Linked DNA regions of Lytechinus pictus. The protein of the gene in region 4 interacts with the protein of the main gene of each other region in a biochemical or structural test. Links are inferred from orthologs where the notes say so. Each region holds a gene or a part of one and is shown on either strand. Other genes may lie near its edges.

What was found.
Region 1: the proteins of peroxisomal targeting signal 1 receptor-like (region 4) and peroxisomal membrane protein PEX13-like form a complex in vitro, tested with the Homo sapiens proteins (3 studies listed by BioGRID). The link is inferred for Lytechinus pictus from reciprocal best matches to the Homo sapiens genes PEX5 and PEX13.
Region 2: the proteins of peroxisomal targeting signal 1 receptor-like (region 4) and D-aspartate oxidase-like form a complex in vitro, tested with the Homo sapiens proteins (2 studies listed by BioGRID, with this or other methods). The link is inferred for Lytechinus pictus from reciprocal best matches to the Homo sapiens genes PEX5 and DDO.
Region 3: the proteins of peroxisomal targeting signal 1 receptor-like (region 4) and peroxisome assembly protein 12-A-like form a complex in vitro, tested with the Homo sapiens proteins (2 studies listed by BioGRID). The link is inferred for Lytechinus pictus from reciprocal best matches to the Homo sapiens genes PEX5 and PEX12.

What each region holds. Positions count from the first base shown.
Region 1 is NC_087261.1:4,569,346-4,577,239, reverse strand, and holds the start of peroxisomal membrane protein PEX13-like, read right to left. Parts: upstream 3,418-7,894; 5' UTR 3,323-3,417; coding exon 3,243-3,322; intron 1-3,242. UniProt on the Homo sapiens protein: Component of the PEX13-PEX14 docking complex, a translocon channel that specifically mediates the import of peroxisomal cargo proteins bound to PEX5 receptor.
Region 2 is NC_087251.1:43,917,604-43,925,526, reverse strand, and holds the start of D-aspartate oxidase-like, read left to right. Parts: upstream 1-4,387; 5' UTR 4,388-4,578; coding exon 4,579-4,793; intron 4,794-5,709; coding exon 5,710-5,830; intron 5,831-6,431; coding exon 6,432-6,517; intron 6,518-7,773; coding exon 7,774-7,839; intron 7,840-7,923. UniProt on the Homo sapiens protein: Selectively catalyzes the oxidative deamination of acidic amino acids. Suppresses the level of D-aspartate in the brain, an amino acid that can act as an agonist for glutamate receptors. Protects the organism from the toxicity of D-amino acids.
Region 3 is NC_087246.1:9,741,039-9,748,489, reverse strand, and holds the start of peroxisome assembly protein 12-A-like, read right to left. Parts: upstream 3,257-7,451; 5' UTR 3,030-3,256; coding exon of another isoform or gene 2,912-3,029; 5' UTR 2,906-2,911; exon of another isoform or gene 2,502-2,905; intron 1,036-2,501; 5' UTR 961-1,035; coding exon 838-960; intron 1-837. Other genes in the region: DNA repair protein RAD51 homolog 3-like, read left to right, coding at 2,912-3,029, 6,849-7,037. UniProt on the Homo sapiens protein: Component of a retrotranslocation channel required for peroxisome organization by mediating export of the PEX5 receptor from peroxisomes to the cytosol, thereby promoting PEX5 recycling.
Region 4 is NC_087258.1:5,595,340-5,603,119, forward strand, and holds the start of peroxisomal targeting signal 1 receptor-like, read right to left. Parts: upstream 3,210-7,780; 5' UTR 3,117-3,209; intron 2,901-3,116; exon of another isoform or gene 2,598-2,900; intron 1,640-2,597; 5' UTR 1,620-1,639; coding exon 1,446-1,619; intron 745-1,445; coding exon 618-744; intron 1-617.

The DNA.
Region 1 (7,894 bases), on a different chromosome or scaffold from region 4:
TTTTGCCACACATGGAGATGTAACCATTATATCATAACCTTGTTCATTGAATGAGTGGATGTAACTGAGAACAATGTTATATCATAACCTTGTTCATTAAATGAGTGGCAGGGCCAGGGTATCGTAGACAGCAAAAAATTCCATGAGAACACACACGAGAATCGAAAATCACTCAAAATCATAGGCAATCTTCTCCTAATGCTTAGACCGCGGTCTAACTCTGTGCTGAAATTACGGGGAGCCAAAAATATGTTCATGTATAGATCTATTGCTTACGACTTACAATTACATGATTTACTATTTTGTTTCCTTTTGGCTTTGCTTTCATAATAATACTTTGAAATACTTCACTCCTCTTCAGAGTTCAGTTATCATTTCCAGACAATTATGAACAATATGGATGTCATTATGAGTGAGTTAATAAATTGGATGTGTATTGTAATTGTTAGGGATTTGTGCTGCAACTAGTACTAGCTCTCCATAGTTACACCACAACTTTAAACCAGGGTTTAATTTAAACCCGGGTTCAGAATACAACTTTAAACTAGGGTTTAATTTAAACCAGAGTTCAGAATACGTACGGGTCAATGAATCATGCATGCTCGTAATTAGACCAAAAGCTTCAGTCTCTGTATTATGGTTGTTCCGCTGAACTGCGTTGGCTCACTCACCAATACATACCGTAAGTAACGGTCTATTAACCGTACGTTTTTCTCGGCGGGATAGAGGGGTATGAGCCACGGGTAATAAGAAGCGATTATTAAACGCACCCACCTTCATAACACTCATTTCGACTTTTATTCTCGGTTCAAAGCAGCGAAGTTCCCTGGCTAAGTTCAAAGAGAAGCCAAGCATACTCGGTAATATTTTGTCACAGCTGAGCGAGCGCGAGAGTTGAGTTAGCTGAGCTAGCTTGCGTTGTATTGTGGTAATAGTGCGACTTAAGCTGGCGCTATTCATTTTAACCCTCGATCCCCTCTAAAGTCCTGTTTCGCGCCAGCTTATTTTTTCTTTCCCGTTTGCTTTTCATAAGATAGCATGTACACCACGCAACGAGAGAGACGGCACGAAGCCGTCAAAACAACTGTAAAAAATGCCAATTTCTTTGTTCTTGAACCTTCCTTCCAGTAATCCCGTATCCAAAATTCATGCTAAGACATCGAATGCTAGACAAATTCTGAAAGTGATTGTGAGTTTGTGATGCAAGAAATGTGAATATTTCTTCCTCCTACGGCGGGAAAGACACAGATCATTATTTGATAAGATGTACTGGTACCGTATCGTAGTTTGCAATGTACAAGAACAGCAGTGCTGTGTGTGTGTACACTGTGACTGTGAGGTGAGTGAGTGTGTAAGTGGCCAATATTGTCGGGACCTTTCTTTCTTGCAAACATTTGTAGATGAATTGATCAAGAACAGCAGATTTCCGCATACCGGTAATCTCTTTGGATACTTTGAAATCTTTAACTTAGTTTTTTTTTTTTTTTTTTTTTAGTCCAAAGTTGGGGGTGCGGTTAAAGGGATTGTTTAACTTTGTGAGCAGCTGATTTACAAAATTCTCAAACTGAGACAAAACATGTGTATGAGTGCATGTATTTGTCCCCAAAAACCCTGAAACAAACCACAATATAGAATGAAAAACTCTAATTTAGATACAAGTAGCAATTTATTAGCTTGATTTTGAGAACCGTCTAGTAGACAGGTTAAGCTTATGACCAGTTTACTCCAATTCAAAAAGTCCGTTGGCTATTTTGACTGCCTTCTGTTGTGTGTATCTCCTATTTACACACACACGCTATTAGCTGCACTGAACATTCAGTGTATACCTAGTACACACTGTATGTAGGCCATGCTGTGTTCATCTAGAGTTCGTGTGTTGTGGTGCACAGGTTCACTGTATACACATGTCATAGTTATTGAAACCAACTCCCAATTATTTTCAAACTTTGGTTTACATCTTTAAGGTTTTAAAATTGATCCTGTGGATATAATACTTTCATGACTTTGAAACTTTTGGGATGGTATTTTTACACTATAAGCCTAATGTTAAGCCCATTTTCAAGAACCAAAATGAGAATTTTTTAAATCAGAACAAAGTGAAATGATCACTTTAATCCACGGACGCGACGCTCGCGTCCGTAACGTTGGGGAATTACAATAAGAAACAAGATGGCGGCGTAAACATCGGGCAAGTCTCTTCTGTCTTTTCACAATATTTTCTCATTTTTTTGATGAATTCTTGTTTAAAAATAACGAGAGCGTATAAATGTCGGAAATGAAGTTTTATCCCATGTACATCAGACTCAGAGGCAGAGCTAACCCAGAGAGCTCCCGCCCGCACAGCGGGCGGGAGCCCAGAAGCTTACCGTGTATTTTACCATTGTCACCGGACTAGGGTGATTTATGGTCTAAATATTTCTCCAAATGAATTGTGAAAACAGAAAGTATACAATTACCACGATTATATGGATGAAGGTCTAACGAGTGGCAGATTCCTGACATCTGGGCACAGTCTGGAACCCCAAAAAAACGAAAAGTTCTCTCCTTCTACCCCGTCTCGATCGGCCATTTTCGTTAAAAATCGTAACAAAATGGCCGATCGAGACTGGGTAGAAGGAGAGAACTTTTCGTTTTTTTGAGGTTCCAGACTGTGCCCAGATGTCAGGAATCTGCCACTCGTTAGACCTTCATCCATATAATCGTGGTAATTGTATACTTTCCGTTTTCACAATTCATTTGGAGAAATATTTAGACCATAAATCACCCTAGTCCGGTGAAAATGGTAAAATACACGGTGAGCTTCTGGGCTCCCGCCCGCTGCGTGGGCGGGAGCTCTCTGGGTTAAGGCAGAGCTAGATCTTTTTTTAGTTTTAGTTTTAGTTTACTTTTAGAACAAAATAGAAGGAAAGTAGAAATCTCGGGGGCGAAAGTTTCAGGGTTTTTTGCGGTACACGCAGATGAATAGGTAGGACTCCCTGGCTTCGTTTAGAGTAAGCCTACGTAGTACGTTAATAAATTATTTTTACTCTCAAGAAGCCGCCTGGCTAATATGGGCGGAGTCAGACTCAAGTCAAGGACTCCTTGATCACTCGATACATGAATCACTACGCATCGGACTACACAGAGCTTTGCAGCGAGAATTCACTTCGGTGCCACATAAATCCATCTCTGACCAATAACGACCATGAAATAGACTTTGTTATTAATACTATAAAAGTGAAATAAAATAAAGAACCACTTACAGCATTGCTTGGTCGGCTGGATATCCTAAAGAAGGATTTATTGAGCCTCTTTTCTCCCATGGTTTCGGCGGAGCGGCCATTGCTAAATCTGCTATTAAAATCTGCTAGTTAGAATTTGTATTACGTCATGACGCGACGGGTCATGGCCTCGATCTTATATATCTAGCTCTCGATCTCCCCCCCCCCCCCCCCTCTAGGTACATTCTCCACAAAAGTGCACCAATAGGATTGGACAAACTTTCAAATTTTGACATACGAAAATTAATTAAACTCATTTGAATTCAGAAACTTTAATACTTCGAGAACACATAACAACAAACGGGTGATTTTTGACCCCAACATATTTTTCAAGAAATAGCATTGAACTTGAACACCTTTTTACATAGTTTTTACCACCCGTCAGATACGTTACCATTAGGCCTTAGACAAGAAAAATCGCTGTGGATGTATCATTTGTGGACCAATAGTATCAGTAAATATTTCAAAGTAAACGTAACTAATATACACACATGATTAAAAAGTAATTCTTGACATTTGATTGGTCGAGATGTATCAAAATGATAAATGTTATAAGTCTGTAAGTCAAAATCAGCCCGAAAAAAATAGTATATTTTCAGATAAAATACATTACCTAAATTGCAATTCATATCTCTAATACAATTTGATCTTATATTGCTTTGAAACATTAATAAAAATCATACATAAATACTGAAATTATTAAAGAAATTTCATTGTAAGCACACTTTACTACAGATTTTATACATTCTGAATTACAAGAAAAGAGAAAATTGGTAACGTATCTGACATACTTCCACAAAATTTCGTTTACTGTGGTTTATATCTCAAGATAACGATAAACTCAATCGTGCAATATATTTTACATCCAAACGAATTATCAACTACGAACATTCAGATTTATAATCCCGATTAAAAAACACTACTCAGTAATGCAAAGTCATGTATTCATCTATAGCATATATACGTGCATGCAAATATATAACTGTAATATGTCAATATGGTAACGTATCTTACAGACATCTATACTACAAAATATTGTTACTGTGACGCAATTACATAATTATGTTCTGTTTGAAATGTATGAGCTAAACTTTTGATTTAAAGTGCACAACGTACTTAGTCCATTTCCTTCTATAAACTCATTGATAAGATATCTAACACTATTAAGATGGAACAATATCATCAAATTTATTACCTGCGAGTGCAAGGCAAATATATAACTGTAATATGTCAATATGGTAACGTATCTTACAGACATCTATACTACAAAATGTTGTTACTGTGACTTATAATAGTAACATGCGTAAACTCACTCTTGCATTTTGTCTTACATCAAAATGTTATATCCACCTCGAACATAATGATTATTTATGATGATCACCTTGACATAGTTCAGTAAATAAAATTATGCATCGATAAACAAACACAGACAAAATTAACCTAAGACATAATTATAATACTGTTTCAAATATATGACCAAAGCTTTTGATTTCTAATGTGTACAGTCTATTATGTAGCTTTGTTAACTTTTAATGAAATATGTAACATCATGCAGTTTGGAAAAACATGATAAATTTGATTACATCCGAGTGTTTAGACGAATATATAACTGCAACGTAGGGTAACGTATTTGACTGTTGATAATTTAAACTTATAAGTACAATGTTATTTCACTTGGGCTATACTTGGTGTTTCGGCTCTGCTCCTAAAAAAAGAACCTTCTTAAATTGTATAAAAGATCTCATTCTTAACAATTAATCACGCTGAATAGTTATAAAAAGATTTGTATAAATTAATGTGTTTCCACATGTTCTGTCATAAAATTTGTTTTTAAAATTTAAAGAGAGCCAAGGAGCTATACGGTAGATAGTGGTGGTAACGTAGCAGACACAACTCTCAAGTAATTAAAATGTCTTTGTAGCACATCTGATTCATCATCCACTCAAATATTTCGGTACATTAAAGCTTACACTATATTGACGGATTCTACTTTTTCATATTTTTGTACATTCAGAGAGCCAAGACAAAACAACTAGACTACGGAATCGAAATATTCTCCTTCCACATATCAGTTGACAATTAACATTATGTTGCCGCTTGTACATGATGTGGCACGTATTAAAGCAAAAAGCCGGGTAAAAAAATGATTAGCATGATTTAAGAAGGATAATACAAACCGGATAACAACCGACAGCAAGTAAGGAAAATATTATATTTCAAAATTTCACATTTTCAGAAAACATATTCTAATGAGCAAGTTGTTAATGTCATCCCCTCATAATTTGTCACGTTTAAATGACATTTTGGATTGTTTTTGCCAGCATTGAGGCAACCATACCCCTTTAAGATATGTCAGAACAAATATTTAAGAACAAATAGCATCTCTCATTCATTTTGTTTTAATTTGGGGTTAGTTGAATAGGAAAACTTTACTGTATCATATTTGATAAATGGATTTTTTAAAGGATTTCTGTAAATTAAATGTGAAGAAAATTGTAAGGGAATTACATCATTAACTTGCTCATAAAAAAAGAAATGTTTTCCGAAAAAAAATTAATAACGTCATTATTTTCCTTTTTTATTAAAATATGCCATTTTCATCATTCTTGCATCACAGGGAAAGGATTCCTTTTCTTTGTAAATTGTTCGAAAAATGGGAGGATATGGAAAGTGCATAAATACAAGTAATGCTGTCCAAATATTTGTCACCTGCAAATTCTAATATTGATCCTTTTACTTAATTTGTGCTTCTTTATATTTTTTGGCCAAATCTTCGATTAGTGTCAACTGTTCGATGGTTAACTCAGATTTTCTCTCTGACTTTCCGGATCTCAGCACGCGTTTTACCCATGTCTTTTTTTTCTCTGAAATAAACGAGAGACAGACAGAGAGGAAAAATATCAGCATGGGATTTTTATATGTACATTATTTTATAATTAATAACAAATAAATATAAAATAGTTAGTCGTCGTGTACGTAAAAACATGACATTAATATCTAATAAGATACGTTACCAGTCGGGTAAGATACGTTACCGTGCCTATCTGGTAACATTCTAATGTTCATGCGAGCTATCACACACACTAAACAATCGCATGCATACGTGTTAGATGTCTTAAGCCTATATGTAACTGTTCCATCAACTTCAAATAACTCTCAAATGTATCATAGTACTCAAACAGATAAATGAACTATATTCTGTCAATATTCAAAAAATGAAAATTCTTACCAACCACGTAGCTGGGATGAATAACAAACGGCGAGAAGCCTTACATCTCCCTCAGACTCTCAGCACGTAACGCTCAATGCTTTGAAGGGTGAAGAAGCGCTAAAAGCATGTGCAAAATTAGAGAATGCGCGAATGGGCCTATCAACGCGCAATGCGGTAACGTATTTGACGGTAACGTATTTGACGGCCTTTAGGATCAACCTTGTGTTTTCACAAAATAACAACCTTTTCTTTCATAACTCCCATGTATTACCATAAGCAATGTAGAGTGCTCTAAAACAAAATACATTATAACTTTGTTAACCAAGTTATTTTTCTGTAATAGAGCAAAGTTTCAGTAACGTATCTTATTTTACCTTATGGTAACATACACAATTGAAAACTTTGTGTCTGAATATATTCATTATTATAGAGATTCAGTATACACTATTTGTATTTATATAGCCTTGAAATGGACTTATTCACTACACCGAAATACAGATCACTGCATTATTGTCTTCGTTCTTTTTAGGGTATCATACAAAAAGTAACGTATCTTATCCCGATTTGGAGACACCTTCGCTAAGACCGCAGGAAAAAATATACAAAAGTTTTTTCGCTAAGCAATATGCTTTTTTATTTAGGCACCGAAGGCATTATAAATTAGTGGACAAAACATGAAGTTCGGATATTACGGTAAAGAGCGGGAGTATGAAATATAATCACACAGGTCGCTGGAGACATGGGTAAAATGAGCACATATATGTTTTGTGCTGTCGTATATAATTTTTTCATGAGGTGGGGTGACCTCGGTTGATTTTAATTCTACTCAACATATTCTGTAGTATAAATAAAATTCAAAAAATTGGTTTCCTGATGAATTAAATTATGGTTTATAGCCTAGAGAAAGTTGGAGACACGAAAATGTCCTTTGGTGCCCCTTTTCGGAGAATGGCCCTCTAGCTAGCTGCTACCGCTAGCTCTAGACCCCCCCCCCCTCTTTCTCTCTCCCTCTCTGTCTTTCCTCTGCTTGCATCCCCCCTCCCTTAATTCTTACTTTCTACCTGTTTCTCACTCTCTTTCTCTCCCTATCTATATTTCTTTAATTCCCTTCCCCTCCCTAACCCTGTCCGACCCTAGCGTGCCACCCCAAATCCCATAATGGCAACTACCATGGTAACTAGGGCTCAGCAGCCAATCATAATCAAGGTTTCCATGGTGGTTGCCATAATGGCAAAGTTACAACAGTTCCAAGTCCTTTATGAATCGGGCCCCTGGCTCTGAAATCTTGTCGATCAATTCACGAGCACCCCCCCCCCCCCCCATATTAAAAGAAATGGAATAATTTCATACAGAAAAAATGATTACATTTTAGACTTCCCAATATCGAAATTCTGTCTTATGCAGCAGCACAATAAAAAAATTG
Region 2 (7,923 bases), on a different chromosome or scaffold from region 4:
TCTTAATGGCATCTCTGATCACTTTCCAAATTTTGCTAAATTATCTACGAATAAAAGTGTCAATAAAGAAACATTTAATCCTGCATTTCGAAAGATAACTGACGACAACATAACCAATTTGACTAATAATTTAGACACAACAGACTGGTCTACTGTATATGACTCCTCGGACGCCGACGACGCATACAACTGTTTTATTACCATACTTACCTCTTCTCTAGATACCCATGTTCCCCTTACAACTAACAGAAGATCAAATCATAAAAAGATCCCTATCCACCCTTGGATTACTAAATCACTCTTAAGATCCATCAAGCGCAAGAACAACCTATATTATAAATACATAACTAAACCAAGTGATACATCTCGCTTCAAGTCGCTACAAGTACACTTCATATAAAAACACTCTTACATCTTTACTTCGTATTGCGAAAAAAGAATATTACACTTCTCAACTCGATCTAAACAAAAATGATATGAAGAACACATGGAAAATCATCAATGGTGCGTTAAACAAAAAGAAGAAGAGTTCTACAATTACAAAAATACAATCAAACAATACCATCACTGATGACAACAACATAATAGCAAGAGAGTTTAATCCATATTTTTCACAAGTTGGCAACAATTTAGCAAGCAAAATCCCTCAAACGAATAAATCTTACAACAATTTTCTCGAAAACCCTAACCCAAACTCCATATTTTTTAATCCCACAAGCTCAAGAGAAATTATAAATATTGTTAATAGTCTGCTGACCAAAAAGTGCCCGAGGTTTGACGGTATTTCCAACTTCCTACTTGAGAAAATTATCTTGGTTATCGTCGATCCTTTGGTGCATATTTTTAATATTTCTTTGAATACAGGAAGGGTACCAATCTTATGAAAATCGCAAAAGTAGTCCCTCTTTTTAAAAAAGGAGATAATCAGCTCGTCTCCAATTACCGTCCCATATCATTGCTCACCTCGTTATCAAAAATTCTTGAAAAACTTGTCCATACACGAACTAGTACCAGGCACGTAGCCAGGGGGGGCGGTGGGGGCGGTCGCCCCCCCCCCCCCCAAACGCCCCCAAAAAGAAAAAAAACAGGGGAAAAGGGAGAAAAAGAAAAAGCGAAGGGAAGAAGGGCATAGCTTTATTGGTTTTTTCTTTCTTTTTTGTCAAACATGTCAAAAATATAAAAACCTAAATGTGATGTTCGTTTCTCTCTTCATACAAAATTTTGCTTCCGCGCTCCGCGCGGGAAAAATATCAGAATTGCCTTTCCCCTTTGTTTCCCACACCTTTTTTCTACTCCGTTTTTCCCCTTCCCCGGCCATGGGACTCGCATTCTTGCCAGAAATTATAAAGTATACATGGATAGTATGAAAAGTATTTTTTTAAGACACAAAATTTCGGCTCTTCTGTTCAGAGCGGGTAAACTTTTATACCGTCCCTCCCCGAGTCCCCAAATGCTATATCAAAATTAGAGCAGGTTAAAGTTTCAGAGAAATTTATACAATTCAGAACTTGCCATTCGCGGGAAGAGATCCCTGCATGTATTAGCTTTCTACAGTCTGTTTTGCGAGTTAAAGAAATTTAATGTGGCTAAAGTTTTTACAATCAAATCTGATGTGACTAAGGTTGGTATTTTATATCACTTTTGTTCTCATTAAAAAAAAAATAAAACGTCTTAGCTTTCGCGCTTAGCGCGGTAGAGGAATTATTTTGAATTCCTAAATCTTTTCCCATTTTGTAGGCGCTCATCTTTTCTTTTGAAAACAAGTTTTGTTTTTAATCACAGCAAGTCAATTGAATTTGTGTTGATAAGGGTATTAGGGACGCAGGAGACATCTTATTTTGATTGAAATTTGATGAGATATCTAAAACTTCGCGCTCCGCACGGGAGGGGGAAAAAGGGGGAAACTCCCCCTCCCTGCACCCTCCCCCCTAGGGAGCGCGCTTCGCGCGCTCTGTAAGTGTTGGCACGCTTCGCGTGCACTTACCGCCCCCTCCAAAATTAAATCCTGGCTACGCAGTTGACTAGTACGTTCTTTAAAAGAAGCAATATCTTTTCGGACTTTCAATTTGGGTTTCGCGAAAATCACAGCACCTCGCATGCAATTTTATTTTTCGTTAACAAAATCACTATTTCCACTGATAAAGGTTGTCATACTGTCGGTATTTTCCTGGACTTCTCCAAAGCCTTCGACACCATTAACCACGGAATTCTCTTGCATAAACTATCTCATTACGGTATTAGGGGGATGGCCTTGGAGTGGTTCAGGAGCTATACCTTACAGATAGGACTCAGTTTGTATCAATAAATAACCATAATTCATCCAACCTTCCAATTACTTGCGGGGTACCACAGGGTAGCTTACTCGGCCCTCTTCTTTTTATCACTTACATAAATGACATCCACAAAACTTCAAATTTACTTTCATTCATACTCTTTGCTGATGATTCCAACATTTTCTTTTCTCATGATAACATAAACCAACTTATTAGGATTGTTAACTCTGAACTCATGCATGTGACTGAATGGATCAAGGCAAATAAACTCTCCCTTAACTTACAAAAGACCAATTATATGTTATTTAGTAATAGAATAAACAGTTTGCCCGACAATATCATTTTTGATAACACTGTCCTTGAAAATGTTTCTGAAACAAAAATTTTGGGTGTACTTATTGATAATAAATTATCATGGAAACCACACATCGACAATATATGCAAAACAATTTAAAGAAATATTGGAATTATCAACAAGCTCAAATTTTTTCTTCCATCTCGTACACTACTTACACTATATCACACCTTAATATTACCATACATCAATTACTGTATTTTGGCATGGGGTTGTGCAATTCAAACGCAATTACATAGGATACTTTTGTTACAGAAAAAGCACTTAAGATAATAATTCATACACATTTCAGATTTCACACAGATGAATTATTTTTTGAAAACAAAATCCTTAAAGTTAATGATATATATCTGTTCCAACTCGGCCAATTTATGTACAAACTAAATAAAGATGATCTCCCAGCAATTTTTTCAATTATGTTCTGCAAAAACTCTTCTGTACACGATTATCCTACAAGACAACGAAACTTTTATCACCTACCTCCAACCCGAACTTTACTTGCAAAAAATTCTTTTGTCTTTTCTGGTCCCGTATATTGGAATTTCTTGCCCAACGACTTCAAGGAATCCCCAAGCATCACTATTTTTAAACATAATTTAACATTTAACATAACCTTAAAAAGATGCTTATTTGCCAATACTTTACACAAACAAGTCAATCTACCATATAACTAAAACTACAACAAAAACTACAAAAAAAAACTTCTTTTTTAACCTCCTTTAAACTTGCCTGCCGACCTGTTCCCGCACCTGCCATGCCCCTGTTTGCACCTCCAATTGTACCTGCACCCCTCCTCTCTCCCTACATTTGCCTCTCTGTTTCTCCCTCATTATCACAATTATTGTAACCATATTTTTTTTTCTATTTTTTTTTTAATTATTACTATTATCATTTATTCCAATTTGTGTCACTCTTTCGTTGTTACCTTTGATATTTTGTATAGCCTCCTTTTAAACTGTCTTCCGTCTCTCCTTTATACTATAGTTTTGTAATGTTGTCTCTAAGTTACGTATTGAAACTAAGTTATACAGGGGCTTGCCTCCCAAACAAGCTTTGCTTTTCTTGGCAAGCCCCTCCGTTCTGTTTTATACATGTATAGCCTTAGTCAAAGTTACTTTAGTTCTCATTAGTTCTCATCGTTTATACCTTCTAATTCTTACGTATATTCCGATTGATATTGTACTTTAAATTTGACTATGTATTGTTACTTTGATTTTGTTGTGCTTTGTGAACGGAAAATGAATAAAATCTAAATCTAAATCTAAAATCAAATAAGGGCCCAGGGTGAACCATTATGCCGCGAGCTAATAAAGCAGTGTCTTGAAATAAATATGGTTCAAGTGTGTCTTGTTTTTTACGTGCAATAAATTGTGCCAGATAGCGTACCTACGGGGGGGGGGGGGCAGAGGGGGCAGTCTGCCCCACCCTGACGAGCCACAACCCATGCAAAGGACGTATCCCTGCCCCCCCCCCCCCCCCCCTTGACGAGCTTGAAGACCCTTTTTTTTTTTTTTTTGGCTTGTCAATTTTTTTTCTGGTTACGAAATCCTTCATTTGTGATTGAAGACCTTTCTTTTTTTTTTTTTTGCTTGTCAATTTTTTTGGCGGACGGTTCCCCCCCCCCCCCTGTGAAAAATCCCAGGTACGCCACTGTGCCAGATAATCAATATATAGTTGACCTCGAGCAGGCCATATATGGATTCGCATTTCGCTCGTATATACAGAATATATAACCAATTTATCTCCCGGGTTTAATCTCACTCGATCTCTCACCACCACTACCGCACCGCACTGCAGTGCAGTGCTGATATATACTGTACTGTTTTGCTTTGACCTCATTCATTGCGAGTACACATGTACAGTGAGTGCTAGTGTCAACTGCTACCTACTGATGGAGGCGTTATTGCAAATTGTATTTTAATACGTTTAATAGGTCTACTAGTGTTCAGCATGGCAGCGGAAAAGGGTAGAACGAAGAGAGTGGTCGTTGTCGGCGCTGGCGTTATAGGGCTTTCGTCGGCTGTCAATATCATTGAAACTATCCCAAATGTTGAGGTTACATTGATAGCAGAACATTTTGAGGAGCATATGGCATCAAGCGTATCTGGTGGCTTGTGGAATCCCCGGGAAGTCCCCCTCAACGGCACACCCATGCATGTTCTTCGGTATGTTCTCAAAGTCAAACTTAATATTGTAGCATAAATACTAGTAGTAGTAGTACTACTACTAGAGTATTCATTCCTAAACTAAATAAAGCAATAATAAGATGGTGTTTACATCGTCTTATGAGCTTAAAAAATGCCACTTTCCTCATTCTCCCCCTCAAGCACCTACATGTATCTTGGACATAGGCGGTGGAAGCGGGGGGGGGGGGGGGGGGACATGTCCCCCTCAACTTTTTGTTGATAACCTTTTTTTTTTTTTTTGCTTTTTCCAGCGTCCCCCCTACATAAGATAACCTTTTTTTTTTTTTTGCTTGTCAAAAAATTTTGGTGGTCCCCCCTAAAATTTTTGGCTTCCACCGCCAATGATCTCGGATCCCCTTATGGGCCCTTTTGCTCCCCTCTCCCCAATTCCCCTCCTCCCCTCCCCCTCTTCTTCCTCTTCTTCCTCCACTCTCCTCATCCACCATTGACATTATTATGGACCTTATACTTTAGGCCAAAGCAGTGAGTTTAGGGTAGCTTGGGGGCTCAGTGCCCTCTGAAATAAATTGATTTAATTGCTTGTCTGAATTTATTTTTACGGGAAAGTGCTTCTGGAAACAGCTGTGACATTTTTAAAATGTTTTATGCTTGTGAAACTAATTGTCATTTTCTCCCTGATCCTGTCAAAGTTTCACAGTTCCACAAGTTCAAGTATGTATTTACATCTATTTTGCATTCACTTTATCTATCATACATGTATATTAATGGTAATTTGAGTTTAAACAAAGGTTTTGTTTTCAAAGAATATGATATGTGATCACGTTTTTCCAAAGAGTTCTATTGCAATACAATATATCCAATAAATCTCTTATTCCTGGACTTGTGCAGAGTGATCTAAATGAAGATGACATAATGATTTATTCATGCTTTCCAGGAAATGGGGCAAGGAAACTTGGGATCATAGCATTCCTTTGGCATTGAGTTCGGAAGCATCCAAAATTGGAATAGAGTTCATCCCCGGTTACCGTTTGTATCCAGAGATGATCAAAGAAGAAGTAAGTCTTCATGTTTCGGAAATTTTTTTTTTTTCACTGAAAAGAGGTGAAAGAAATATAATTTGATAAATGTTTTACACAAACTTTTGGTCAGACATGAATTAGCAGAGCTTTAAGACTAAATAGTTATTCAATATTGATACATACCAAGATATTTATAATGGAAAATTTCACATCTCAGAAGTCTAATACCATAAATCATTAAGAAGATCTTTTGGTAGGATGAGTTCTCAGTGGATGTTTTGAACCACACTTTTGGGGCAATATTATGCATGGTGTACGGGGAACTTCCATTATTATTATTATTTTAGATTTTTAGATTTTAGACGACTCCTTCTAAGACGGGCTCCAGATCTATGGGCAGTGTGTGTGGGTCTGGTAGGAGTTGGCAGACCAAAAGGTGTTGCTTCATCTGGTCCTCCCCATGTTATAAGCTACTGAAATCCTGGTATCTAATTGGCTGAGAATAAATAAGTCAGTGAAAACCAGTCACTTAAAAAAAAAAATTATGAAATAGTACCTTGATGATTTTTATTTTATGTTATGTGCACATCATTATTCTGGTGTGTTGTGTCTTGTTGAATTTATTATTTGAATACAGGAGGAGCCATGGTGGAAGGATGATGTTATAGGATACAGAAGAGTTCCTCAAAAAGAAATCAAACAACTCTTTGCTTCGACATTCAAGTAAGTTCTTGGGCCCGTATTCGGAACTTGGGTGTCATTTCAACTCTGGTCTAAAGTTGTGGTTAACTATATGGATAGCCAATAAATTGTCATTGCGTCAAAAATCTCAGTATGAATTCAATTTGACCGCACATTTGGTGCTCAATCCCGGGCTCAATCCATTCAAAACTGTTTGGGAGTGATAATTAAGATAGTTTACCCTGCCATTTAAGCCTGGGGAAAAGGACACAATTCAGCTTATAAATGATGTTCATCAAATTTAATTGTAATGTAATTTCTGGTATATAGCTCAGAAATTTAGCTTGCTTTGACAAAATCTATTCCACCACTGACATTGATAACTGGTGTTATAACGGCATTTTTACATTACAAATTTTAATTGTGCCTCTCAAAAGGGGGGGGGGGCACTGGCTGGCTTTGCCAACCCCCCCCCCCCCCTCCCCTGGATCTGCCAGTGCCTAGAAACTTTTCAAAGACTTGTTTGTTTTCCCCTTTAGATTATAGGCCTAATGTTTTCAATGTTATCTATATCTAGGGACAGTGATTTTCAATTTTACCGGTAAATAAAACAGAAATTCTGTTTGGTTCTTACACTTTTCATGTAAAAATTCATGGAATTCACCTTTGCAAAAATGGAATTCAGGTTTTTGCTGTGTACATTTTCAGTGACAAAACAGAATTTCAATTTTTAGATCAAGTCGAAACAGAATTACAGATTTCAGAAACTGAAGACAACCATTTTTTGAAATGGAAAATCACTGTCTCTAAATTATTGCACCTAACATATACATTTATGTCACCTTAACTATCTTCTTGTGCTAACTTCTCAGTTCTTATGAATTATTTTCATGGAACATATTGATTATAAATTTGTAATTTCATTTTCAAAGTGAGTTGAAAATTTCTGTTGAAAATATATCATACCTTGCTGTCAATTATGAAAATCCATATTTTAATGTTCGAAAAAGAAATGGAAATCCTTCGAAAATATGTTTTGCCCAATTAATTGTGGGCCCCAGCCGGCAGCCACTGTGCAGCGCCAGATTGACGTAGCTCTATCCCTTGTATTGTTGAACGCCAAACAGGGTAGTAGCAACTCCCATCTTTTAACGTCTTTCGGTCTGACGCGGCCGGGGTTTGAACTCCCGGTTGTGAGACGGACACTCTACCAACTAAGCCACCACACTAAGTGAAACTGCTCATTAATGCATATGAACCTTTCAGTAATCTATTTCTTTTGTTTTTGTCATTGACAGGGATGGATATTTCTACATGACAATGATAACCAATTGCCCGATCTATCTCCCTTATCTCATGAAACGGTAATTTACAACTCTTCATCTCTACTTCATTATATAGGCTTATGATTTTTTTTTACATTAGAAAAGACTACTGGTAATTGTGTC
Region 3 (7,451 bases), on a different chromosome or scaffold from region 4:
ATATGCATAAATTAGCATATTTAATTAATTTAAAAATTCTGTGTAGAAATTTTGTATCCCCACCTAGAGCTATCATATAAAGGAAACAAAATTAAAATTGATCAACAAATGAAGGAGAAAGGGCATTTTTTGTGATTTATGAATAAATGTTGCATAAATTAGCATAAATAATTTTCTAGTCAAAATTTCAAAATTCTGTGTGGAAGTTTGGTAACCCTCATGTAGCTCTACCAGATGGATGAAAAAAAAAATCGAAGTTGGTCATCAAATAAAGACGAAGAAGCATTTTATGTGAATTTTTAAAAATATGCATAAATTAATTTTGCATAAATTAGCATAAAATTTTTTCTAGCCAAATTTTGTGTAGAAGTTTTGTGAACCTCATGAAGATCTACCAGAAGGAAGCAAAAAACTCAAAATCGGTCAATAAATAAAGAAGGAACAGCATTTTTTGTGAATTTTGAAAAATGTGCATGAATTAGCATATTTAATGAGTTTCAAAATTCTGTGTAAAAGTTTTGAATCCCCACCTAGTGCTATCATAATAAAGCAATCAGAATTGAGATCGGACTTTAAATGAAGAAGCAGAATTTGGAAATTGTGGACGGACAACAGACGACGGACGCCACGCCAATTCAATCCCTCAATTGCAAATTTGTAAATAAGACTAATGATTGATTTAAAAAAAGAAAAAAATTCTTCTAGAAGTTCTATGCAATGTCTCCAAAGTCTAGGTTCTTTGAGAGCCAACAATATTGTGCAGTAGTAGAACAATATTCTAGGATGCTGTTGAATTCTTTAAAATGATGTTTTCATGAAGAGTACCCTTTGACTTACCTTTAAGAAGTAGGACAGAGCAGGTCTCAAAGTAACCATTAGGCTCTCTTGGGCAAGAACCTCAAAGAATGATGGTCGATTGTCAGTGGTTGCTGAAGTAAGATGAGCTCCGAACTCTGCCATTGTGATTTAGAATTTGCACACATCAGATTGCAGAATAGCAGTATCTCAGTTTCTTCTCCAGGTAGCCAAAGTTTCCTTTAACAATAAAAAAGATCGATTTCTAAAACAGATTGACTGCTGAAATTAGACATTTGCTCACTATTGAGCAAAACAAGCCATGGAACGATGAGTGAAATTCTTCAAGTTGTAAATAGTCAAGTACAGTAGATCGAACTTAGAAAAAAGGTCAATAATAATCTGGAGAAAAAATAGACTACTAATAAGAAATATAATATCATTTTGTTTGGAAAAAGTTATAAAAATACCTGTCAGCTATCATTATTTAGTGTTATTAAACAACCTTTTACCACTGAATTCCAGTGTGCAATCTCGTCATAATCTAAGTTTTTCAAGTACATGGTATTGAAATTCATCCAAACGTGCAGCAAAATGTATATACATGCACAAATTGCTTAGTTCTGAACTCGTCCATATCACAAATACATATCTAACGTTAACTCGGGACTACCTGTTACTAGATCTACTACACAAGCTACCATGACTATACAGCAAAGACAGAGTTGCATCCCTTTTGCTGGTATTTCTCAGCTGAGCGAGACATGGACATGCAAGATATCCACTATCAATGGAAGTTAAGTTCGATCTACTTTAATGTTAGATGTAGAAAAATTAGAAATCCCCTTAAGGCTTGAGGGGGGGGGCAATGGGGACTAATGTCCCTCACACTGTGTACGAGTACGTAGCTAGCCGTCTACCGCGTCTGGGCTGTGAAGGAGAAGAAATTTAAAAATATATGTTTAAACACTCCAATTACTTACGTTACGGCCCACCCATCCAACAACTGAATGTAAGTTTTATTGTTTATCCTTGGTTTTAGGGACATAAGTTATTTGTAGATCTACACAAAAGTGCTTGCTACCTTCAAACTGATCCAAATTCAAAGCATACTAGACTCTGTTAGGGATCAAATCTAGGAATTAGATCAATAAAATTGTACTTGATTAAACAATAGTTAGTATCTGCACTATTTCATTCATAGACCTTATTTTTAATTTAGTTGCCCATAAATTTGAATTATCCAAAGTTCCCCTTATCGAACTGCTTATCATATTTATTTCACAAAGCAAAACTGACATATTGTATGTAGGCCTATGAGAGAAGCCGAAATTCGAGATCAAGCGGAAATCATTACCAAAGATAACCTCAATAATTTAATTCGTGTAAATTCTTTCTTTTTTTTTTGAGTATTTTTTTAGTTTTTACTTTTATCTTATTTAAAGGCCTAATCCAGAATTACTTAATGTCGACCGTCATCGCCTCAGCTTCACTCACACCTAATGCGTTGCTACAACGTTAGTGCGATTAACTTTAAGTTTAACGTTTTTTAATTTTAGACTGATGATTGATACCGTACTGAATATGTCCCCTGCCCTGTTGCGGAGGAGTTTTTTATTTTTAACAAAATTTTCTGATTTTTTTTTGACGGAGTGGAGCCTGATGAAGTCTCAGCTCAGCAGAGCACATCCCAGAAAGAAATAGACCTTTTTATATGGGTCTACCTCAGACTCGGCTCCACTCCTAACGTTAGTACCAAGTCAGACCAAGTCCAATGAGGTCCAAACATTAACATGCTCGGCTCCATTCATTCTAGGCCAAGTTCAAGCTTCAGCAGCATGCAACCAGGCAGTATACCAGGCCCAGGGGCAGGGCCCCGGCGCGCCTTAGTCTTCTTTATCTTCTGAATATTGATGCGTTTGGATGTTACTGTTAATGTTATAAGAAGACCCCACAGAGGCTTAGACTTAGCCACGTACGGACGGACAGCAGCCCGATCGACCGACCGGCCGCGCCGCCCGGCCATCAGCCCGGCGCGATCATCACGCGACTGCCGACATTGGAAACATGCGCGGGGAATTCAATTTGATATCCTGTTTTTACAATTTACCTCACGATGCAGCGTGACATAAATAGCTTTCCTATACCTCCATCCTTCAGACTGAAGCTGAACAATGCGGGATTTAGTTCTACTTCTGATATCTTGGAGCTGAAACCATCAGAACTCAGCAAGGGTAAGCAAGCAGCGACATATCCTGTTTTTATCCAGCAAAAGTTTCGTTTGTAGTCCCATATATTTACAATTATGTTAGTTGGTTTCTCCCTAGAACTTAGAAGCCATATCATATGCCAGCATCCATATCGGCCATCTGAGTCTGACTCCGAATATTTGTAACTTACTAGTAGTTTATAAATTTGTGTGAATCACTGCTGGCATAAATCGTGGCCCGGCTTCGTGGGGGGGGGGGGGGTGGGCCGTAAAGATTTTGGGAGGGGATACTGTATATCCTTCAGTTTCAGGGGGGGGGGGGTGGAGTTACTGCGGCAGCCCGAACACGTAGAGTAACATTAATAATACATTCTCCCACTTTTCAAGAATTTTTTTTTCTTTTTTAGTTTTATTTTTCTTCATCCTAATGCCAATATTATAATGCCTTCTAAGTGCTAAAATTTACCTAATTTTGCATTCTAAAAAAGTAAAAGTGCAAAATTTCTTGCACAGTTGCTCCGCTCCTAACTTAGTGCTCATGACGAATCTTAGTTTTCTTACAAATTAGGCCATAAAAAGCAGATATCTTCTAAGTTCTAGTAGTAGTACACCAGACCAGAGCTCTGAATTTTCAGGGTTAGGCTCTATTGATCAATTATGTAATTGATTATATTTTTTGAGTAATTGCAATTTGTAATTGAAATTTTTAAAGGGAAAGTAATTGTAATTGAAAAATTGTAATTGACTTCAATTACTGGATTTGAATAAAGAAAGAAAAATCCAACAAGCATAACACTGAAAATTTCATCAAAATCGGATGTAAAATAAGAAAGTTCTGACATTTTAAAGGTTCTCTTAATTTCACAAAACAGTTATATATGCACATCCTGGTCGGTATGCAAATGAGGAGACTGATGATGTCATCCACTCACTATTTCTTTTGTATTTTATTATATGAGATATGAAATATTCTAATTTTCTATTGTCAAATGAAACAGTGATTAATTCCTCCCTGAACATGTGGAATTAGCTTTGCAGTTTAATGCTACATGTATATGGTTCAGTCAAGTCGGTCTTTATATGGTCAAATCTGTAAAAAATGAAATAAAAGAAATAGTGAGTGATGGACATCATCAACTGACTCATTTGCATGACACTGTTTTGTGAAAAATATGCGAAACTTTAAGTTGCCATAACTTTCTTATTTTACATCCGATTGTGGTGAAATTTTTAGTGTTATGCTAGTTTTTTTCTCTACTTATTCAAATCAATATTTTGCTGGGGTGGACTTGACCTTTAATCTCTTGCATGCAAATATATCCTTTCCCATGCAGTGGCGTAGCTAGGATTTTTTTCCTGGGGGGGCACTGGGGGGTCCTTGCTTTTTCAGGAGGGGCACCATTTTTTAGGTGTGTGTGTATGTGTCACAAAGGCGGATCCGACTTTCGCCAATAGGGGACGGTGCCCGAAATTATCTTCACCTATATTTTCCCGATCAGTCACTTCTTAGTTTTATTCTTATAAAACAACATTAACATGAAATAATCTCATAAGCCTTATAAAAAGTGCGAGCGCGAAGCGCGAGCGATTTTTTTTTACTTTCATGTATTTTGTCCTGAAAATTTAATATTCTGGGCAATGTTATGTGTGATCCTGAACAAGATTCGTATGTAACTAGATGGTTACTGCGAACGCCAAGCGCGAGCAGAAATTTTTATTAACTGTTCTAGCATTATCGAAAAGGGACCTGTTAAGGACTGCTTACAGTTACCCACGAAGACGGTATATATTTCAATAATGCGAGCGTGAAAATTCCGACCTAAAAATGGTCATTCTAAGCACTTTTTGTATTAATAAATGGGATAGGTATGTAACTAAACAATTGATGCGAGCGCGAAGCGCGAGAGGTAGAAAATTGAGATCTCAGACCTAAAAGCGGGACACTCTAGTCATATTTTGTAAATCATAAATAGGATATAGTTAATTGGGTATCATTAATAATGCGATCATGAAGCGTGAGCAGACAATTATTGATATTCTGATGTGAAACTGGATAATTTAAGTACATTCTAAATAAAGAACATGCAGGCTATCGCGCATGTTTTAGATTTAGACCTAGAATCTGAGCATTCTGAATACATTTGTTTTATGGAACATTATGGAATACACCTAGACAATATGAACTTGGCAAATCAAACAATGTGACCACGCAGCGTGAGCTTAAAATGCTGATATGTAGACCATAAAAACGGACATTTTACAGAGCACTTAAATTTGTAAATGAAAACAAAAATATGAAAGCTCGATGTCCGAGCTAAAATATGTTTTGTACATAGACTTCAAAACTTGCTCCATATCAGCCTATTGAGCAAGATATGAATCTCATCGAACAGGCAATTCTGGCGCGAAGCGCAAGCAAACATTTTATATGGTAACATGAAAGATTTTTTTTTTGCAAGTCTTCCCCTCACATTATTTCATTCACTCGTCTTCCTCCTCTTATTTTCCTCTTCTGTCTTTCTTCTTTTTTTTCTTTTCTCCTTTCTCCCTTTTTTTTTGCTCTGCCAATTTTTTTCAGGGGGGGCACCTGGGGGGGCACACCAAATCTCAGGGGGGGCACGTGCCCCCCCATGCCCCCCCGTAGCTACGCCACTGTTCCCATGATGTGGAGCCAGAGGAAAGAGGATACATTGCTATAACAAGTGCACAAATTGAACATCTGAAATATTTGGGACAAATTTGCAAAACAAAATAGGTTCTAACACGGAATCAAACTATGTAATTTTTTATACTAGCAAAATTACATTTCGTATAAACTCATGTAGTGGCCTGATTTTGTTAGTAAGAAAACGTAAGATGTTTACTAAAATCTTTAGAATTAAGTTGGGAATACCTCCTCAAAAAGTGAGTTTTTAGTGGATGAAAATATTTTTCCTGCCCCCTATAGTTGAAAGCTGGATCAGCCCTTGATGAACGAGGTCACAACTCTCAATTCAAGTTTACATTCATGTTGTACATCATGATTTCTACAAATGAAACTAAAGCATGCAGATCTGCATATTATTGAGAATGTCAGTTGACTTTAGCATTGAAGGGAGTGATAGGCAGGATCAATGCTCTCTAAGCTAATAATCATTCATTTTGTCAGTTTCTCTCAAACATAGAATTAAGTTGAAATGGATGACACTACATACAAAATATAAATTGATTTCATGAAAGTAATTGAAATTGTAATTGACAAAAGTAATTGTAATTGAAAAAAAAATTAATTTAATTGAAAAGTAATTGTAATTTAACATTTCTTCAATTACCTAATTGTAATTGTAATTGAGCCCAACCCTGACTCTGATGATAGGATGCATATTTAAATTTCAATTAGGTTTTTGATATATCCCTGTCAGTATACAGTACGAGAGACAAGTACCGAACGCACATCATTGTTTTTTTTTTTTTTACCATTGTACTCGCTGCTGTGTATTTATCATTGCAGGTGACAGCTTTGTACTCTTTCAGATAGATTTTGTAAGCTACAAAAAGTAATTAGTGCACACAACTCAGAAGAGAGAAGACAAAATTTGACATCAGTAAATGAACTGGTGACTTAAAGCAGGATAATTCCAACATTTTTGGATTTAGTATAAATTAAGTTAATGTAGAATGTGGTCAGTGACAATTACAAATCTTGTCTTTGTCAATAAAATTGATTCTTAATGGCATATTTTTGTGGTTTTATATCATTCTCAAAGTCAAGTATCAACTTAATAATTCTCTTTTTTTTCTTCTAGTATTATATTGTGTAGATGTAATTGTCATAGTTTTTTTCTTTAACCTAACACCTTTTCAGAGATAAATATTTCTAAAGAGGATGCTCTGGAGCTGATCAAGACATTTAAGTCGGGAGCAATTAATCCTGTGCTGCACGAGAAATCAGAGAAAGATCTTGAAGACGAGGAGCTATTAAAAGGGATATCATCAGGCTCTGAATGTTCAGGACTAAAATCCAACAAACTTCCCGTTACTGGCTCAATATCAGGTGCTTAAAATAACATGGTGCATCATGTTTTTATCAGAGTACTGGGTTTAACATTTCCAGTGAAACAGCATGATTTCCAATTCACAAATAATATTTATGTTTTTAATCATGCCTTTATTATTTAGATTTATTTCATTCATTTATTTATTTTCTAATCAAGCCATTTGTCTCAGTCTCTTTATCATTCAATTAATACAAGTTTGTATCCTTCTATCTGTTCATCAGTCCACCTTTCACTCTCTATCCATCACCTGATATATCAATCCTCCTATTATGTATTTCCACTTACCCGTTCATCATTTTATCTCTCCATTATATATCCATATTACCATCCATCTATCTATCCATATTACCATCCATCCCCATGTTCATCCATATTTCTGTTTCTCCATCCATCTCCCAATCCATTCATCT
Region 4 (7,780 bases):
CCAAATTGTTATTGCTAACCCCGGATAAGGAATGCTTGCTTTTCACACACGAAACTCGCTAACCCCGGACTAGTGGTTTTTGTCGATCATTCGTAGTACAAGTACTTCACTCGTACCATTTTACACACGCTACAATTTCCTTAACCCCGTACTATAGGTGGGGCCAAATTGCCATTTAGCCCCACCTATAGTACGGGGTTAAGCTTAGCCCACTTTCGTTTTACACTAGCGATCTTAACCCCGTACTATCGCTCTTAGCACCGCAATTGCTGGGATAACCCTGCTTTTTTGCAGGGCCAAATAATCCCGTACTAAAGGTGGGGTTAGCCCACTTTGCAAAAATGCTGTGTAAAAAGAAAGTGGGCTAAGCTTAACCCCGTACTATAGGTGGGGCTAAATGGCAATTTAGCCCCACCTATAGTACGGGGTTAAGGAAATTTTAGCGTGTGTAAAAAGGGTATATGACATGATTCATTCAGACAGGACATATTTTCTTAATTTTCAATTCATTGTTCAAATGAACCTTATGCCCAGATTAGAACTACATGTATCAACAAAATGGATCATTCAGACAAGAAAAGTCTTGCATGATCAACTATCAGGTCACCCATTCATACCTTGGGCTAGGGCTTGGCGGTGATGCAAGCCTTCAATCTCCTGCATTTCTTGAAGAAGGGCATCCATACGGAACGTCTGAGGTGGACCGGCATGGCGATGCTGATCAGACAGGAACTCATTGACCAACTGAACATCAAATATGAAGATTTTATATTAGAATTAGTGTTTGACAGAAGGACCATTAGCATTGGTTTTCTGGAGGGGGGGGGGGGGGGTTGTAGTCGATGTTTTTTTCTCTCTCCTTTTTTCACACTTCTTTAAAGCCCTTATGCAAAATAGAGGAAAGGTTAGACAAAGTTCATCCACAGTGGATGTACATGTAAAACAGGTGAGGGCTATGAAATAATTTTTAGAAATACAATTTGCAAAACCATTTCAATGCACATGTGTGCACTCAAAATTAAAAAATACAACTTATACCTATCAATTTTAATACCTAGGAAGGTTGACATAAAATACATGTAGATAATGGTATTGTACTGTATAAATACATCAGCATGCACTGCTTTTTAAGTCCACGGCCGTTTCATAAAGTTGTTATAAATTTCGGAACAACCAAAATCATTCAATTTGATTGGCTGATATTAGTTTTCATTATTACAAAAAGTATTTATGGAACATGATCCAGTGCCAGCAAAATAATTAAATCTTTATTTTCTGGGGCTACTTTTCACAACTTATCCCCTAAATCTGTAACATTGGCTAATAAGCTTTAACATTGCAATAAATGGGGAATTTCCAGGGTGCTTTTTGAGCATTTCAGGGCAAAATCACCCCCTGCCTGTGTATTTTTTCCCCCTGGGACCCAGGTGTGAATAGCCACTTACCTCTTGGTCAGGAGCTTCAAGGAAGGGTCTTGCCTCCTGCACAAACCCACCTGGCCCTGGGAGATGCTGGAGACCCTCCTGATGCAGAGACTTGTCTTGGGTGAAGTGAGACGTTAAACGCATCAAGGGGTTGGCCGTACCACATTCCCCGTCAACAAGATCTCTCATTGCCATGTTGACAGATGAGTTTCTTACTGTGGAGGAAAGTACAATGAATTACTATTCATCACTGGTGTATAGATGGAGGATTTTGAGGTCCGCCCCCCCCCAAAAAAAAAAAGCTCCACAAACAAGAAAATGAAGAATAGAAAGAAAATGAAAGGGGATATGGCAATTTTTTTTTCTAAAATTATATAAAAATCCATTCAAAATAATAGATTTTGATTCTAAAAAGTTCAGGTTTTGAAATCGGCAGCAAATTATTTATACGTGTGAGGAACTTCATGTTGGCTCTAAATCACCAATTTTGAGACTGATAGAAGCATGGAAAAGAAGTGAAACTTTGTGTAAAGTACGAATATTAGTTTTATTTGTTTTTAAAGATCGTGATGTTGCATGAATTTTATATTTCCCCCCATAAAATCCCACCTTTGTCACTCGGAATATCAGATCGAGTTCACGGTCTCGAAGTTCGGGTAGGTGAAGCGTAGACCGTAGTGTAGCGGTAGTGAAGTGGAGCCTGCACGAACTTCGCTCGAGGTAGCCTACGTACAGTTGATACTTTTTTACTCTCCAGAAGCCTCCAGGCCCTAGGCTACCTACATACCACTACCAGGTATGATGGGGTGACCATAATTTGCGCACATTTTAACAATTATCATTTGATTTTCAATCAAAAATTTCTCACACTGTCACACAAAATTAATCCAAATCCAAATACCAAATGGAAGGCATGATCCCAAAGTCAAATTCACTTGACGGAATTATAATGTAAGTCCATGGTTTCGCTCATATAGTGTTCTCAAAATTCCATGGCGATCGACTAGTGCGCGCTCGGCTGAAAAGTGTCATAAAAAGGTGTGACCTTAATTTGCACACGATCGTTTTGCAAAGCTTTAGAAAAGAAATAAAGCAGACAAAGATAAGATAATTAAATTATATCAGATGGAGGTTAAAATGCCATAAATTCGGTTGGTATCACATTTTACTTACTTATTTGGAGACCTCTGCTTGCAAACTGGCGATTTCTTGATGCTTGTCGAGAATATCAGATTTTCTCGGAACGGACGCAAAAGGTAACAATAAACAAAATTTGCTGATGTTTTGCCAATATTTTCACAATTTGAGACCTTACCTTAAAAAAAATTACCATACTAAGTAATTTTGGGTCGCTCTTTCTGTTGGTGATATCAGTTTTTCAAGATACTAATTAGATAATGAGATATTTGACCGTGCGCAAAATTAGGTTACGCGCGAATTAGGTCACACTCACATCACCATACCACTCACACAACTAACTTACATTACAGACACCGATATATTCGTGTGGGACAATAGTGCAGCTACATAGATAGGCCTAGATTGAAGATTCTACGGCTACGCCATAATACGCAAAAATCCGTCTTGCATCAATGATCAACATGATCAAGCCAGGTCGGTCAGACAAAAAAGTCGACGTCAAAAACCTCGAAATTGTTAATCCACGTTAAAAAAAAGCTACGGATTGCTTACCGATAAATGATAGGAATAATGTGACGAAGCCGAAGGCTGTCCTCTGAGTTTCATCAAAAGTTAATCCAAGTCTCCGTTACGCAATTGCCGAATGGATGTCGGATCCGGATCGGATCGGGCGCCGCGGCCATACATTGTAGATCGAGAAGGGAGGTGCCGTGGCCGTGGCCGAGTGGTCTAAGGAGCCTGGCTGTACATGGAAAGTCCGGGGTTCGATCCCCGGCCGCGGCACCTATGCCCGTGAGCAAGGCATTTAATATACAATGCTCTTTTATCCTGCTTTCAAATAAATGGAAATGCTACCGTATATGCAATATTGGTAACTCGGTGTGCACTAATTGTTTTAAAAATAAAACAAAAATAGATCGAGAAGGGGTGTACGTCGCTGCGGCCCGAAGGGTTCAGGGCCGATCAGGGCCCTGTCTAGAATATTTATCCCGATGCGTGGCCCATAATATACAGTGGCGTAGCTAGCTTTTTTTTTCCTGGGGGGACATTGCTTTTTAATGAGGGGGGGGGGGGGCTGGGATGGCGACAACCACAGGGGCAGATCCAGTTTTCGCGCCAGTAGGGGATTAGGCCCGAAATTATTTTCACCCAATATTTTCCGATCAGCCGCTCGAAATTGATTTTTTTTTGCAGGTGCAGTCCACTTCTTTATTATAAAACAACATAAATATAAAATAATCAGGCACTATAAAATTTTCGATCTCTCGATCGCACTGCATGATGTTTGATGAAATAATAACATTCTTGCTGATAGGCTGATATGGAGCTTAAAATATCAAGTTTTGAAGTATTTCAGCTCCGACATTGAGCTTTCATTATTTTGTTTGATTTTCAGTATCTACCATATGTATCAACATTTTGAGCTCACGCGCAGCGCTTGCATTATTTGATTTGTAAAGTACCTTATCTCTTCGTGTTTTCCATAAAGTTCTCAAAAATATATTTTCAGGTTTGATTGTCAAAACCTATCAGCCAGCGTTGCGCGCTCACATTTTGATTGGTAAGTAATGTATAACTCTACTTCAGAGGCGTCGATCCTGGGGGGGGGGGGGGTAGGGGGGCGATCGCCCCACCAATGAAAATATTGGGGGGCAAACATATATTGTTTTGCCCCCCCCCCCCAATAATTCCTCATGTGCAAAAATAAAATAAGAGTGTAATGTTACACAGAAATCAGCAAGCAAGATTGAAATACACAACTCGTTCCTTATTTAAAATCGTGCTCAAAATGTCTGCTTTTCAGCTCGCGCTTCGCGCTCGCATCATTTCTGTAGCAAAAACCCATACTTTTCATGATTAAATAGGTGAACAGAATGTCCCGTTTTCAGTTCTAAACCTCAAAAGAACCCCCGCTTCGATTTGCAATAATCTTTTGTTGGGTATATATATCTTGTTTTTTTTATCAAAAACGTCCATTAAACTGTCAATTTTTTCAGATCGAAATATCAAATTTTTCAGCTTGCGTTTCGCGCTCGTATCTATTGTTATTTGAGACACCAATCTTAATCGTACCAAAATGCTTAGAATATCAAGCTTTCAGGTCAGAATATAAAAAAAAATTCAGCTCGCTCTCGGCACGCGCATTATCTGTGTAGTAAGATCCTCCTCATGATTTACTACAAACAATCCTAAACGGGTACCTTTTTCCTGTTTTCAGTTCAGTATACTAAAAAAATTCAGCTCGCGCTTCGCGCTCGCATTAATTTGTTGGTGAGATATGTGTCTCTTTCTCACGAGTCATATATATGTATGTATATATATATATATAAACATATATATATATATATATGTATATATATATACATGCCTATGTGTGTGTGTTTGTGTGTAGGTGAGTTTGTTTGTTTTGTGTGATCGAGCGCCTTTGAAAAGTTGAGTCATGATTTTGCCACCCCAATCTGAAAAATGGATCGACGCCCCTGCTCTACATGCACCCTATTCATAATTAAAAAGTGCTTGAAATGTCCAGTTTTTAGGCCTTAATATCAACAAATATCGAGCTGTCATTAGGCTTATTAGATTAATAAACAAAATAAAAAATTTCATGAATTCCTAATAATCAAATTGTCCTTCTTTCAGAATGGAATATCTTGCGCTAAGGTAGAGAAAAGGGAAGACAGTCATCATTTTCATATGATGACAATATGTCCTCAGAATGTTCCGGTCCTAGGTCAAAATGATAATGAAAATATAGCTTACGCTCAGCGCTCGCATCATTTATTTAGTGCGATCCATAATTATCCACTTCACAGTTTTCTTACTGTGCTTGAATTAGTGCTTAAAGACCATTTTCAGATCGGAATATCAAATATTTTCAGCTCGCGCTTCGCGCTTCGCGCTCGCATTATTGATTTTGATGATAAAAAATATATTTAGAATGCCCAGATACTAGGTATAAATCTTAAACACACGCACGCATGTTTATTGAGATACGCAGCTTGTTCTTTATTTAAAACATGCTTGAATTATCCAGTTTCATGTTAGAATAGACCTTATCAAAAAACTTCTGCTCACATTATTAGTGTATGATACCCAATTACCCATCCTTTTCATGATTTACAAAACATCATGAATAGAGTGACCCGTTTGAAGGTCTAAACTTTTTCCGCTCGCATTGTTTAGTTATATACCTATCCTGTTCATGATTACAAAAACTGCTTAGAATGTTCATTTTTTAGGTCGAAATGTCAAAGATTTTCAGCTCGCGCTTCGCACTCGCTTTATTTCACAGTTGAAATATGTATTGTCTTTATGGCTAACTACAAACAGTCCTTAACAGGTCATTTTTTCGATCAGTTACATACGCATCTTGTTCGGGATTACAAAAATTTCCAAGAATGTTCAATTTTCAGGACAAAATACATTAAATTTCCCCAAAACAAATTGTTTTATAAGAAGTGACTGTTACGAATACCACTTCAAAGAAACAAACAAAAGTCGATTTTGAGCGGCAGATCGAGGAAAATATGGGTGATTTTTTTAGCCCTCCCCCAGTGGCGTACCTAGGATTTTCCAAAGGGGGGGGGGGCAAATTCGTCCGCCAAAAAATTTGACAAGCAAAAAAAAAAAGTCTTCACCCGCAAGTAAAGGACATTTCGCACCAGAAAAAAAATTGACAAGCAAAAAAAAAAGGTCTTCAACCACAAGTAAAGGACATTTATTTAGCACCAGTCAGGGACTAACTCATCAGGGGGGCAGGGATACGTTCCTTGCAAGTGTTGTGACTCGTCAGGGGGGCAGTCTGCCGCCCCCCCCCCTTAGGTACGCTAATGCCTCCCCCTATTGGCAAAAGCTGGATCCGCCCCTGAATTTAGGCTTACTTCAGCACCCCCAGCCAAAAAAATCTTTCCCAGGGCACTCTCCTGCAACCTCTTTCTTACTCTCCCTTTCCAGACCTATCCATCTCTCTAGATCGTCAGAATCCGGCTGACCCATTTTTCGAAAAACATCTTCACAAACAAACAGTCCACAAAACTGATTTACTGCTGAATAACACCGTTGAGTGATAAACCTTGATGAACTCCTATAATTCTCCTCCCTCGTGTAATTATTATTGTTGTTGCAGTGATTCAACGATTATCATGTCGGTCGTGTGAGCTTTTTAACGCTACAATCACACCAATAAAACCGACTCCAAACCGACCAATAGTAATAACGTTTATCGATCAGGATTCCGTTTCATCTGTGTGACTGTAGCATAACACACGAACCAATTAAAACTTTTGTATCATTCTAAAAGAAAGGACCAGCATCCCCCCCAAAAAAAACCGATCTGGATAAAAAGGAGAAAGATCTAACAAGTAAAAGGGTGACAAGTGCATGTTAAAGGTAGGAAATAAAGATAAGCATCTGTACGTGCAAACCATCCGGGAACGCTTTGCATGTCATAAATCTGTGAATATTTGTCCCAATGATGAAAAAGCTATTTTCTTTTGTTTTAAAACGTTAGTAACTTTATGATGTGGCATGTGCCTTAATCCCAGGTATGACTGTGGGGAAGTGCAGTCGACTGTTCGAGGTTCGAATCCTGGGTCCCGTAACACAAAGGTTAGCGATTAATCGTACACTCAATTTTTACAATTGATTGTACATTGTAGTCAATGGAATTAATCGTAGAAAATGTTCTACGATCATTGCTAAGTTTTGTGTTACGGGCCCATGTTCACATCTTTTGGAAAGGCAATTAATCATATCTTTTTGGAATTGGATCTAATTTATCTAAACTATCTAACCAAAGTCTACCTACCAAATATGTAATGACCCAATCACTCAATTCAGACAAATTCATTGCAAATTTTATAAGTAATTATATTGATGTGACATTAAACATTAAACATTAAATATATATATATATACGGTATATTTCATATACTATAGAATAAATCAAATAAAATGCAAATATGTCGGTTCGGTGTAAAACTGGCAGAGGTAAAAATAGCAGGAGTAGTAATGGTAGAGGTATAAATGGCAGAGGAAACAATGGCCGGTCTTAAACCCCCATGCAATATAAATGTAAAAGTGAATACCCCACATGTATATAGCTTAGATAAGAAAGGTACTTAAAAGAGATTTGAAATTATAATATTATGGAAAGCGTTATTTTTGTAATTTGTATCGTATTTTCCCCCTGGACTTACGGATTTCTCACGTCGGCT